Rhinolophus ferrumequinum: one gene and its partners. The protein of the gene in region 1 purifies or fractionates together with the protein of each later gene. This does not show direct contact. Links are inferred from orthologs where the notes say so. Each region holds a gene or a part of one and is shown on either strand. Other genes may lie near its edges.

What was found.
Region 2: the proteins of WDR5 (region 1) and YAF2 purify together in Homo sapiens (affinity purification with mass spectrometry; 4 studies listed by BioGRID and IntAct, counting the BioPlex papers as one, with this or other methods). This does not show direct contact. The link is inferred for Rhinolophus ferrumequinum from reciprocal best matches to the Homo sapiens genes WDR5 and YAF2.
Region 3: the proteins of WDR5 (region 1) and BOD1 purify together in Homo sapiens (affinity purification with mass spectrometry; 3 studies listed by BioGRID and IntAct, counting the BioPlex papers as one, with this or other methods). This does not show direct contact. The link is inferred for Rhinolophus ferrumequinum from reciprocal best matches to the Homo sapiens genes WDR5 and BOD1.

The regions. Positions count from the first base shown.
Region 1 is NC_046295.1:81,295,230-81,298,975, forward strand, and holds the start of WDR5 (WD repeat-containing protein 5), read left to right. Parts: upstream 1-1,302; 5' UTR 1,303-1,458; intron 1,459-1,897; exon of another isoform or gene 1,898-2,052; intron 2,053-3,746.
Region 2 is NC_046293.1:45,237,881-45,241,626, reverse strand, and holds the start of YAF2 (YY1-associated factor 2), read left to right. Parts: upstream 1-1,470; 5' UTR 1,471-1,812; coding exon 1,813-1,838; intron 1,839-2,270; coding exon 2,271-2,396; intron 2,397-3,746. UniProt on the Homo sapiens protein: Binds to MYC and inhibits MYC-mediated transactivation. Also binds to MYCN and enhances MYCN-dependent transcriptional activation. Increases calpain 2-mediated proteolysis of YY1 in vitro.
Region 3 is NC_046307.1:39,094,253-39,097,998, reverse strand, and holds the start of BOD1 (biorientation of chromosomes in cell division protein 1), read left to right. Parts: upstream 1-1,048; 5' UTR 1,049-1,215; coding exon 1,216-1,458; intron 1,459-3,746. UniProt on the Homo sapiens protein: Required for proper chromosome biorientation through the detection or correction of syntelic attachments in mitotic spindles.

The DNA of each region.
Region 1 (3,746 bases):
TCTGGTTGATGGCGCAGCCTTGAGAAATGTCGTATCTATAAAAATTGTTCATGAAAACACATTCATTTTCCAATTCGCTCCCATTGGCCAAAGCACAGTTAACGTTCTGAAAAAACAAATCTCCAAAATGCTTTCCCCTTCTCTGTAGTTGTTATGCTTTGTTCAACTTCCATTCATGATTTTTCTGAGTCTGATAACATCTTAGGAGGGATAGAAAAGGGTTTAAAACTTAGACAAGTTTTTAAAGTTTTTGTTGAATTGCTTTACCTGCTGTATTGTTGTCAGGATTTTCCTTATGACTGCAGGAATGGATTGAAAAAACACTCCACAAAGTTAGAGGATTTTCTCATTTTTGCTGGAGGTGAGACCAATTTACCTGGGAATCTGGTTTGAGTTCTGTGGTCAGGACCCATGTCTTGCTCCCCCTGCAGGGTTGGAGGACTGGGAAATATATTATACTTTGGATCTGGGGCTGAAGCCTGGGGTGCACAGTTTGGGGGTGGTATCAGGCTAGGCGGGGAGGCCCGTCTGGTAAATTCCATGGCAGAGTTTGGATTTGGACCCGAAGGCAATGGGAAGCCAGCTCTGAGTCTTAAACCAGCAGGTGACAGATCAGAGGTGGCGTTTTAGAAGTTCTGACTGCTTCAGAGAGGTTTGAAAAAGGCCAGTTGGGAGGCGGAACCAAGGCAGGCAGGTGGATGGAAGTGCCCCCTCTTTATGACTATGGAGATTTGGTTACCTGTCTCACGCTCCAGGGTACTGGCACAGGTGAATAGGCCTCCTGGGCACAGAGATCCACGGAGCTGTGCTGGGGCCAGACAGGGACTTTGCTGCCCCTGCGTCCTCCTTAAAGTGGGGGCTTTCAGACTAGCTACCAGTCTTGGTGCCCTTGTCTATAACAACCACACACCTCACTTCCCTGGACATTTCCATTTTCAATGCTCTGTCCTTTTGTCTGCACACTTTCCTGTGTCATAATCGGTGTTCCCATTTTTCATTGGGAAATAAGAGACTGCATGTTATTGTACCCAGGGCTTGGGTTGAGGCGTGGAGGTCAGACCCTGACCACCCCCAAGACTCTAAGACCGATATGGTAGCAGAAGTGGGGCGGGGCGGTGAGAATGCACAGGACTTAAGGCCAGAACAGCGGCTCCAGGTTCTCCTTACGCCCTCGAGCCTTCCTGTCTGGGCCGCCCCTTCCACATTCGTAACTGGAGGTGATGATACCTGTGTGTGACATCACCTTGCAGACAGCAGCGCAGTCTGCATGCAGTGACTGTTCGTATTGGCTCTCCTTGTAGGGGGCCTCAGGAGAGAAGCAGGTGCGCCGGGCGGGCTCTCCGCTGAAGAGGCAGGAAGACCACCAAGCAGGCAGCCCGCCCTGCGGGAGAGCGGGTGGGCGGAGTGCCGGCATTCGGGACCTTTTGGAGCTCTGGGTCCTCCCAGCAAAGTGGGAAGGTAAGGGTCCCCGTCTACTGAGGTGTCCAGACCATTAATGGAGACACTCCGCGGAGAGGAAGGCCAGGGCAGGGCCGGGCTCTGAACGCTGCGGCTCCCATCAACAGGACGGACGCGATCCCAGAAGAAACATTGGGGCCCTCGCTGGCCCTAGGTTCCCGGAGGGGAGATCTGCTCCTCCTTGGGAGCGTCGCTACAGGGCGAGCTCAGGATGTGAGCATTCGAGGGACACACTAGCACTTTTCTGTAGTGTCTTTATACTTCAGTGTGTAGAAAGTGCAGGCGAAGAACGGCCTGCACCGGCCACCTTTGGGGTTAACGCTTTTAAGCAGGAAGCGCGCGCATCACGCTGTCCCTTTAAGGCGTTGGACGTGCCCGAAGCATTCTGCCCCTCGCCGCTCCCCGTAGCGCCCCTCCGAAAGGCCGGCTTTGTGCTCTTGCCCCGCCCCAATGCCGCTCCGGTCCCTCGCGCACGCGCACGCGCACGCGCACTGCCGGCCCAGTGCCGCCTCGTCGAGCTCGGCCTGGCTCCCGCCCAGGCGGCGGCTGATGCGACTCCCGGAGCGCCCGCTCCCGCCCGCTGCGGCCCGTCAGGTAAGCGGGGGCCGCCCGTCCTGCGGACACGCGCATAGGGTGGGGGGCCGACGCCGCTGCACCCCAAACCGCCGCCTCCGCACGTGTTCCGGCGGGCTCGGCCTCGGCCCGGGGTCCCGGCCTGCCGGGGCCACTCGGTGCAGACGCCCCACGGGCCCACGCCGCCTCGCTTTCCGGGTATCTGCCCTGAGCCCCGCCGGCACGGCCCCCTCCGCTTACCGGAGCCCCGCCCGCGGAGGTCCCGTTCTGCTTCTCCAGACGGATCCCCAACGGTTCCCGGGACTCCCGGCGCTCATCCATGCGGCCGGTCCTCAATGGTCTAATGACAAGCCATCAGCCAGGGGGCTGCGACGTCTCCCTGCAGCCAGCCCGCATCGCCCCTTGTCTCCGCGGCTTCTCCCAAGGAAGAGCCCAGACCCACCCGGGCCAACGGCGCCTGGACGGGGCGCGCAGACTCGTCTGCCTCCTGCAGAAACGCCCCTGCCCCGACCCGCTGCTCACGCTCCGTCGAGGCAGCCAGGCCTTCGCTCTCCCGAGAGCCCGGGGTCCCAGGATGGGGTCCCTCGGGTGCGGGCCCGCTGTCAGGAAGGGAGAGACGACTCCGGCCTCGCTGAGGTTTCAGTCCGGTCCGCTAGAGCCATCTTGGGTGATGTGAAAAGATGCGCCTGGCCGTGCTGTTTCTTCCTCCTCATGTCCATTTACCAACCGTGTGGCAGGTGTCGCGCCCGACGCTGCCTCCCAGGTTGGCCCGGCTCCATAGAACGATAGGTGAGCTAGAATGGAAGCGTGTGTCCCAGGACCCAGGTGGGGCTGGCCACCTTCTTGTCCCCAAGTTACCTCTTGTTTTCCCACATCTGAGGGCCCAGTCTCGGGAGTGGAGCCCAGGAATCTGCTTTTTACAAGGCGTCAGGAGAGCACTCCAAGGAGTGGGCGGCCGGGCCCTGGGTGGTTAGGGTCACCTGGGTGCACACCTGTGCGTCCTAAGGGGGCAGGTAGCGTGTGCCCTGGAGGGGGACTCCAAATTGTTCCCGCTCACCGCAGACCCTCCTTCCTACGGAGCCAGTCCCTAACCAGCCTCCCAGTTGCCTCAAAACAACTGTTGCAGACTCACCTGAATGTTCATGAAAAAGGTCACGCTTCCCCTTCCCCCTTAGGTAGAATCTTGGGGCATTGAGACCAGAAATCTAGTTTTAGGAGTCCAGCTGATTTTTGCCTGTTAATGTTTTGCTAGCGCAAGCGGTGGGTGGGTTGGGCTGGAGCGGGGAGGGGTTGGGCACCTGTTAAGACCACCGATTTGTATTCCCTGGTCCTCACCCGAGGACAGCCGGTTTTGCCCTGCCTCCTGGTGGGTCTCAAGTTTTAAAAGGAAGCTGCTCTGTGCCTCCTGAACTGCCCGTGCACCCTAAACGAAGCCTCTTCTGTTCCCACTGGTGCTCCTCCGGGCACCCCACGGGCCACCTGTCTCAGCCCTTGCCTGGTCTGGCTCCCTCAATGCCGGGTTCTGTGAAGCAGACTTCCAGCTCTCTTCCCTAGCCCTTCCCTTCGCTGCCCTTGGCCAGCTCACTTAGGAAGGCGGCACTGGGGCTAAGGATAAGCACCGTGCAGCTGGCATTTACTGAGCATCAGCTGTGTGCCAGCACGTTGGCCCCTGGCATGTTTACCCAACCTGCCCCTTCTCTCTCCACTCAAGTACC
Region 2 (3,746 bases), on another chromosome or scaffold:
CGGGTCTTATATTAATTTTTGCTCCCAAAGATGCATTAGAGCTGTAGGCCTGGCTAGGTCTTATTTTCGGGGAAACATGGTAGTTAATTGGACAGTTTGAGTTGGTGAAAGACTAATAGGATATCTGAGTTCTAATCCTGGCATGTTCATTAAAGAAAAACCATTTAACCAGGGCTCTAAATTCTTTGTCTTTCAAATGAAGGGATAGACTAGTTGATGAGCAGATTTGCATAGTACTTTGAGTGTTTACACAAATTTGTGTAAAGAGATTTACAAAGTGCCTGGCATAAAGTGCTAAAAATGTTAGTTACTTTATTATTAATCACACAACCTCATAAATATAAATGTCCTTTTGCAGATAAAGAAGTTAAGAATTACAGAAATTAAGCACAATTTCCAAGGTCCATCCGCAAAAGAACAGGGAAAGTACGCTGAGAACCCAGGATTTCTGACTATGCTATTTCCTTTGTAGTTCGTTAAGAGTTGCTTAGCTGTAAGATTATTATTTTACAAGAATTCGGACTTTCTGTGAATCTGGAAAGAAGGGTAGAAACAGTACAAAGAGAAGAGGAAAGTATTTATACGGAAGTAAGCTATGTGTGTGAAGGAAAGGTTTTGGAAGGTCATGAATGAATTTCATCTGCAGTCTTTGCCCGGAGGCAGTTTTTCTGATGGGGAATGGGATAAGGCCCTTACCATAACCGGTAGGGAGAAAGTGTGAAAGTCCTTGAATGCCAGGCTAAGGAGTCTGAGAGCTTTAGCAAACTTTTGATCAGGATGGTGTCATTACCAGCACTGACTAAACTGGGGTGATCCGGCTTGAGCTTCGGAGACCAGTTATATGGTCCTTGTTAGTATGTACAAAGTGAGGGCGTCCAGTATGTTGAGATAATTGAGATCTGGAAGGAAGGTAGCGTTCAGGGCACATGTAAACGCGTTATTTTAAAAAAGGGCTTATGAATACTTTAAAAAAAATTTTTCCCCCCAAGCAGCTACTGCAGATGCCTGGGAAGCCGAGGCAGCGCATTTGGCATTAAAACCAGGGTTAGATTCCTGGCTTTGTTATCTTCTGATTATGTAATAGAGGAAGTCACCTAACCTCTCTTGAGCCTCGGTTTCGTTTCTTCTAAATCAAAGGCAATCTTTACTTGGTAAAGCATTTTCCTGCATAAAACTAGACAGTATTTTAAGGCACTTAGCAATGGCGCTCAATGCTGATTCCCAACTCCCCCCAAGTATCCGGGCTGAGGCTGAATAGCCAAGGGCGGCCGAGGCTGGGAAAGCGGTTCTACCTGGAGACCGCAGCCGGGCACTCTCGTCCGGAGCTGGGCTGACCTCCGAACGCCGGCCCCACGTTGGACTAGGCTTCTCGTGGGGTTGACTGAGCATCCCCCGCCAGCCGGAGGGACAGACAGAGGAGCCCGGAGCGCGTGGCAGCCCCCGTCAGCCGGGGTTGCCGAGGGGAGGCGGGGAAAATCGGGCGGAGAAGCGGTGGCTGAGGCGCCGGAGGCTGCAGCTGCACCCCCACGCCGCCCGCCCGCGAACTCGCGGCGGGTGCTGGGCCGCGCTGGCCGCGTTTGAAGTCTCCGGCGCGACCGCTGGTTGGCCGGCGCGGGTCACGTGCGCCCAGGCAGGAGTTTCCCCGACAGCTGGAGGCTGCGTGGGATCCGGCGGCGGCTCCGGAGCTTGGCGGTGCGGCCTTCCCCGCCCCCTCCCTCCTCCCCCGCCCGCTTCCGCCCGGCTTATTATCCTCCTTATTGACAAACAGAGCGGCCGCGGCGGCGACTCTCGGCGTGCATCTGTAGCCAAGCCATGGGAGACAAGAAGAGCCCCACCAGGTAACAGCGCCCGGGCCCTCGGGCCCGGACTGTGCAGGCGGCAGGGCCCTCGCGTCGGGCTTCAGGCGGCCGCCTGGTTCGCCGCCCGGGCAGCAGGGCGAGAACGGGGGCGGCGCCGCTGCTGCGCGAGCGCTGCCGCGTGAAGGGCCGCCGCCGGCCGCCCCACAATGGAGCCGAGATGGCGGCGGCCGGAGCGGCAGTCCCGGTGTCACAGAGGCCGCGGCCGCGACGATAGCGGCCGCGCTCGCGCCTTCCCCCTTCTTTATTCCCCTCCCCCTCTGAGCCGGAGCGCGGCGTGTCCGGGGCCCGCGGGTGGGGGGGGGGTCGCGGAATTGGGTCGGGGGTCGGGGTGCGGGCGACCGCGGGGCCCGGGCGCTGGGCGCGGCCTGCTGGTGACCCCGCGCGACGTCGTGTCCGGGTTGTGTTCTGCAGGCCGAAGCGGCAGCCGAAGCCGTCCTCGGATGAGGGTTACTGGGACTGTAGCGTCTGCACCTTCCGGAACAGCGCGGAGGCCTTCAAGTGCATGATGTGCGATGTGCGGAAGGGCACCTCCACCCGGTGAGTCCCGGGCCTGCCTCGCGTGCTTCTGGCCAGCCGGGTCGCAGCGCAGAGGACGCCCCTGCGGCTGCCTCCACCTCCCGTGACACTTGCAGACCCGGCGGGAGGAAGCGAGACTGAGGTGGTGGCCGCGATAGGAATTGGGTCAGATTGGTCGCGACCCAAGCGATGGTTTGCGGTGAGGAGTAATTGAAGAGGCTGTATCGTTTTTTTGCTGCCAAGAGAGAATAAATTATTTAAGGAGGGCATTAGCTGCTGCGATTTAATTCGTATCGCTGGGTGTAATGTCATCCTCCCCCGCTCCATTCCGGATATAATAATGTTGGCTGCATTGTTGTGTTAGTGTGTAGGAATCAAAGAAAAACCATGAAATCCTCTTTAGGAGCAAAAGATGTAATTTAATTACGTTCCTCAAAAAGAAAACAATCTGATTATAGAATACCCAGTGGATTTAACTTCCCTTTTTATATAGACGTTTGAACGGGTCACATCAAGGTTTTGTTCAGTGTTTTTTTACAATTCTCTAATATTTTAACTTCCTTTTTTTATATAGACGTTTGAACGGGTCACAGCAAGGTTTTGTTCAGTGTTTTTTTACAATTCTCTAATATTTTATAAAAGTTGGTGGTGAGCCGTCACAGGGACGTAGTTTTACTGAAGGTGTCTGAATATCTTTAGTGTGGTCAAATGGTAATCTATTAGACTATACAAATGAGATTAAATGATCTCTGCCTATTTTCAGTCTTTATTGTAAGCTTACAGTATAATAACTCAGTCTTTTAAAAACCCACTTAAGTGAATTAAGTGGATAAAGAAAATCATCCAGGAAATTCAGACAGTGACATTCTTGATCTGCCAGCCTTAGTTATAGACTCCCTTCACCTTTATAGGAAGGTAGGCTTTAAATTAATTCGTTATAATCCTGTAATTCATAGACTAATATTTAGATAACACATATTTTGATATTACAAAGTCTGTTAGAAACTAAATTATCACAAGAGTATAAGTATACCAATGGGATATAATACTGTTGTTTTAAAAAAGGCATCCACAATATTTATATATTGATTTATATATTCAGAAGTTAGATTTCTAAAAATGAAATATCCAGATTTTTAAACACCATTTAGAGCGTTCCATTAAAAAATTTAAATGTAGAGACAGAAATGGTTGGCAGTATTTTAAAATTTTAAGAATTTAGTGAAGTCAGCTGCTTTTGACATACCTGTCTTTTTGTAAATCTTAACACGTTTTTTGTACATTAATTCCCATCTATATTGGATAAAATATATTGAGCATTTTTTATGGTATCCTTTGAAAAGAGAACTTTCAAACATATACAAAATTCAA
Region 3 (3,746 bases), on another chromosome or scaffold:
GCTAATAGGCAAAAGGCTGAAGGAAAGAGAGGATAGTGATGGCAGCCCTGGGGTTCCAATGGTGAATGGTGGCCAAAAAAAAAAAAAATTCAATATATAAAGCCTTACCTAGTGTATAATGCCAGGTAGCTCTCAGGATGTAGTGAAACTTAGGTTAAACATTGCAAGATTTGGATTTAGTAAACCTGTGTTCAAATCCTCCTTTTCTGCCTCTAACTATGTGATCAGGGCAACAAACTCTTTATGCCTCCATTTCCACATTTGTAAAATAGCAGTGATAATAGTATCTGCTTTTTCGATTGTTGTGAAGCAGTGTGTAAAGTGCTTAGCAGCACGCCTAGCATATTCCAATTACTCATTATTAGTTTTATTATTATTATTATTATTATCATTATTATTATTATTATTGACAGTCACCTGGGATAAAATCCACCCACGTAAGAAAGAATTCAGGAAGACAATTTGCCATTATTTTCCAATTTTCCAAAAGAAGTATGCATTGCTATTAAAATCAGGTGATAAAGAAGCCCACGCATTTCCGAAGAGAAATTGACTAGTTCACTGTTTCCCAAATTCCCTGGATGATTTTGTCCAAGGAGGCCACGGGAGTGCACATTAAAAGCAGATTCCTAGTCCCCCACCCAGAAAAACTAAATTAGCATCTCTAAGGGATAAAACTGACATGTGGGCCACATACTTATATAATAAGTGGTTGATACTGTTCATCTAAAACTTGAATCAGCCCCGCGGATTATTCTTATAATCAGTCACTGCTGGGAGGTGCTAATTTAGAGAAAGGTTCACAGTGATGGAGAGGACGGCCAGCCTAGGTAGCAGAAATCACGCGGGCCGAGGCCCGCCTCAAACTGGCGACGAACGGACCCGAAGCCTGCCGGGAGTTGTAGTTTCCGCGGCCAGACCTCTGCCTTATAAGAAAGCCGGAGAGGACTGCCGAAAACCTCCCGCCCCACAATGCAAAGGCCGATGGTGACGTCATCGGCAAAGCGCCCGGGATGGCGCGGGCCGTTTCTGCCGCTTCTACCACCATCACCGCGGCTGCCTCAGAGCCGGCCTCCTCCCCCTCCTCCCCTCCCGTCGCCGCCGCCGCCGCCGCCTCCTCTTTCTCCGTCCCCTGCGCCACCTCCACACGACCCAGGCCCTCTGTCCCTGAGGAGAAGCCGTATTAGGTCTCCTGCGCGGGCCCGGGGAGCAGCCATGGCGGACGGCGGCGGCGGCGGCAGCGGGGGTACGGGCGCGGTGGGCGGCGGCGGAGCCGGCCAGGCCTCGGCGGGGGCGGGCACGGGCGCGCCGGGCACGGGCGGGAGTGGAGGCCCCAACAACCCGGCCTCGCTCCCTCCCGGCGACCCTCAGCTCATCGCTCTCATCGTGGAGCAGCTCAAGAGCCGGGGCCTGTTTGACAGCTTCCGCCGGGACTGCCTGGCCGACGTGGACACCAAGGTACTGAGGCCGCCAAGGTCGCCCCTTTGCTTTTCCAAAGCGGAGAGAAACACAAAAGAGACCTTTAAAAATCTCGGCAGGGAGGTCGGACCGCTTGGGGCAGTAACGACGGGGAGCTTCCTGAGTGACGCACACGCGGGTTGGGCTTCAGCCCCGGCACTAGTCGCCGTGCAATCGAGCCCAGCCGCTTCTCTGAACTGGGGGTTTCAATACTGGTGTTAGAGCCTACTCCCCATCTTTCCCAAGATGGGGTCCCTGTAAGCCTCTCAATAGCAAGCCTCCGTATGTTAAGAATGGTGGAGAACGCCACGTAAGTAAGCGCGAATGGTCTGAATGCACTCGTCGGTACTGGAGCTGTTTCTTCCTTCCCTTTTTTTCTCTTCCCCCCTCCAGCGCCGTGATTTGCAGACTTGCAGATGCAGTTGAATTAAGGTACATTGTAAAGTCAGCCCCCTTATTTTGTGCTCCCTTACTGATTAAAGGGGATTTGGTGCTTTTGTCAGATCCTGATGCCGGCCACAGGTCCGCCCCGCGGTAAAATGCTAGTGAACGTTCCCTAGTTGCCAAGGTGGTTTGTATGCAATGAAGTCCTGTGTGTTGCGTCCGACATCCAGTGGTGCCTGGACCGTTCCTGTCCAGAGCTGCTCTGACAAGACAGAGACGGGGCGTCTTCTAGTGACGGGATGTCTCCTCCCTGAGCCGACCTCACAACAAGACTGTGAGCTTAAAAGACGACCGTAAGGAGAGGGAAACCCAGTCTGTTTATTCGTTGAACATGTATCGGCCTGTCTCGTGCCGGGCTACGTAGAGGGAGGAACAAGTCAGGCACTTCCCGGCCCTCAAAGCTTGTGCTCCAGGGCAGAAAACTGACATAGGAAGTGGTCAGTACTGTTACTCCTCCAAGATGAAACACCCAGTAGAAGCGCTGCTCTTGAAACGAGGTGCTTACTTGTTCCTATGTGGGGGTCTCACATACGGACTGATAGCTCCCGCCTTTCCCAGGACTCTGAGTGTTCTCAACCTCCCATCACAAGTTCTCCGCTCCTGTTTCTTATGTCCCATTACGTTTTGTGTGGCTTAATCAGTGTAGTGTGCATGTTGTTGTTATTTTTTTAATTACTATTGAGGAATTGTTGGAGAGGGAATTGGAGCCTCCCCCGCGGAACACCTTCCTCGATGTTCCTCCTGGCCGTTATCCGGTTGTTTTCATTGTTTACGGTGGTGTCTTTTCCAGCACCTCTTACTGAGTTCCTCGTTGCTTTGGCCCCACGGTTGTCAGTGTGGTCCTTGGATCAGCAGCACCACCGGAGAACCGGCTAGAAACGCATATTCTGAGGCCCCACCCAGACCGCTGAAGTCTTTACGGGAAAGTGGACTGTGATTTTCTTTGCATCCAAACTGTACAGAAACTGATGGGCGAGTGGAGAGAGGGCTCGATAATGTAAGAAAATGTTAACGGGAGGCACATAAGGTCCTTTCACTCATGAATTGAGGGAATTAGTCTGTATTGGCAGGATCCGTTCAGGTTTGCTGGTGACATTTGTGGTCCTTTTTTAGTAAACGGTCCTCAAAGCGAATGAGGTGTTTTTCATAGCAGAAGGTACAGTGTCTGGATGCCTGGTTACAAATGACAAATCTAATTCTAGCTCCCATAAGCAAAGGGGAGGGTCTGCCGACTGGAATGCCAGGAAGGACGGAAGGGACAAACTGCACTGGACCAGGCCTGCCCCCCAGTGCTGCCCTCCGTCTCTGTTCTTCATGACTGCTTCACTGTCGTGCAGAGCAGTCATCCACTTGGTGACTAGGATCTCTTGATTACATCTTACAGCCTCTTCCTCTAGAAAGGGACTCTCAGCTCCAGTTTGAAAAATCCCGGGGGGATCAGCTACATGGTGACAGAAGGAGAACTGACTTTGGGTGGTAAACACACAACGCAACATGCCGACGATGCATTATCGAATTGTACACTGAAACCTATATAATTTTACTAACCAATGTCATCCCAATAAATTTAATAAAAAAAAATCCCAGGGAATGTCTGCACTGCCTTAGCACGGGTCGGCACCCACACCCCTGTCACCAGGAGAACATGACACGCACTGCCCTACCCATGAAGAAGGGATGGTGATTACCAGGAAGAAGGAGTCGCTAGGCAGATAGTCCCCAGGTGCCTGTGAAATTGGCTTCTCACTCTTCTCCCTGCCTTCCTCTTTCCGGGTTTAGTGCAGAGTCTTTATGCCTGTGAGTCACTGTTCTTGGCCTTTAGGAAGAGTCCACTCATGGAGTTG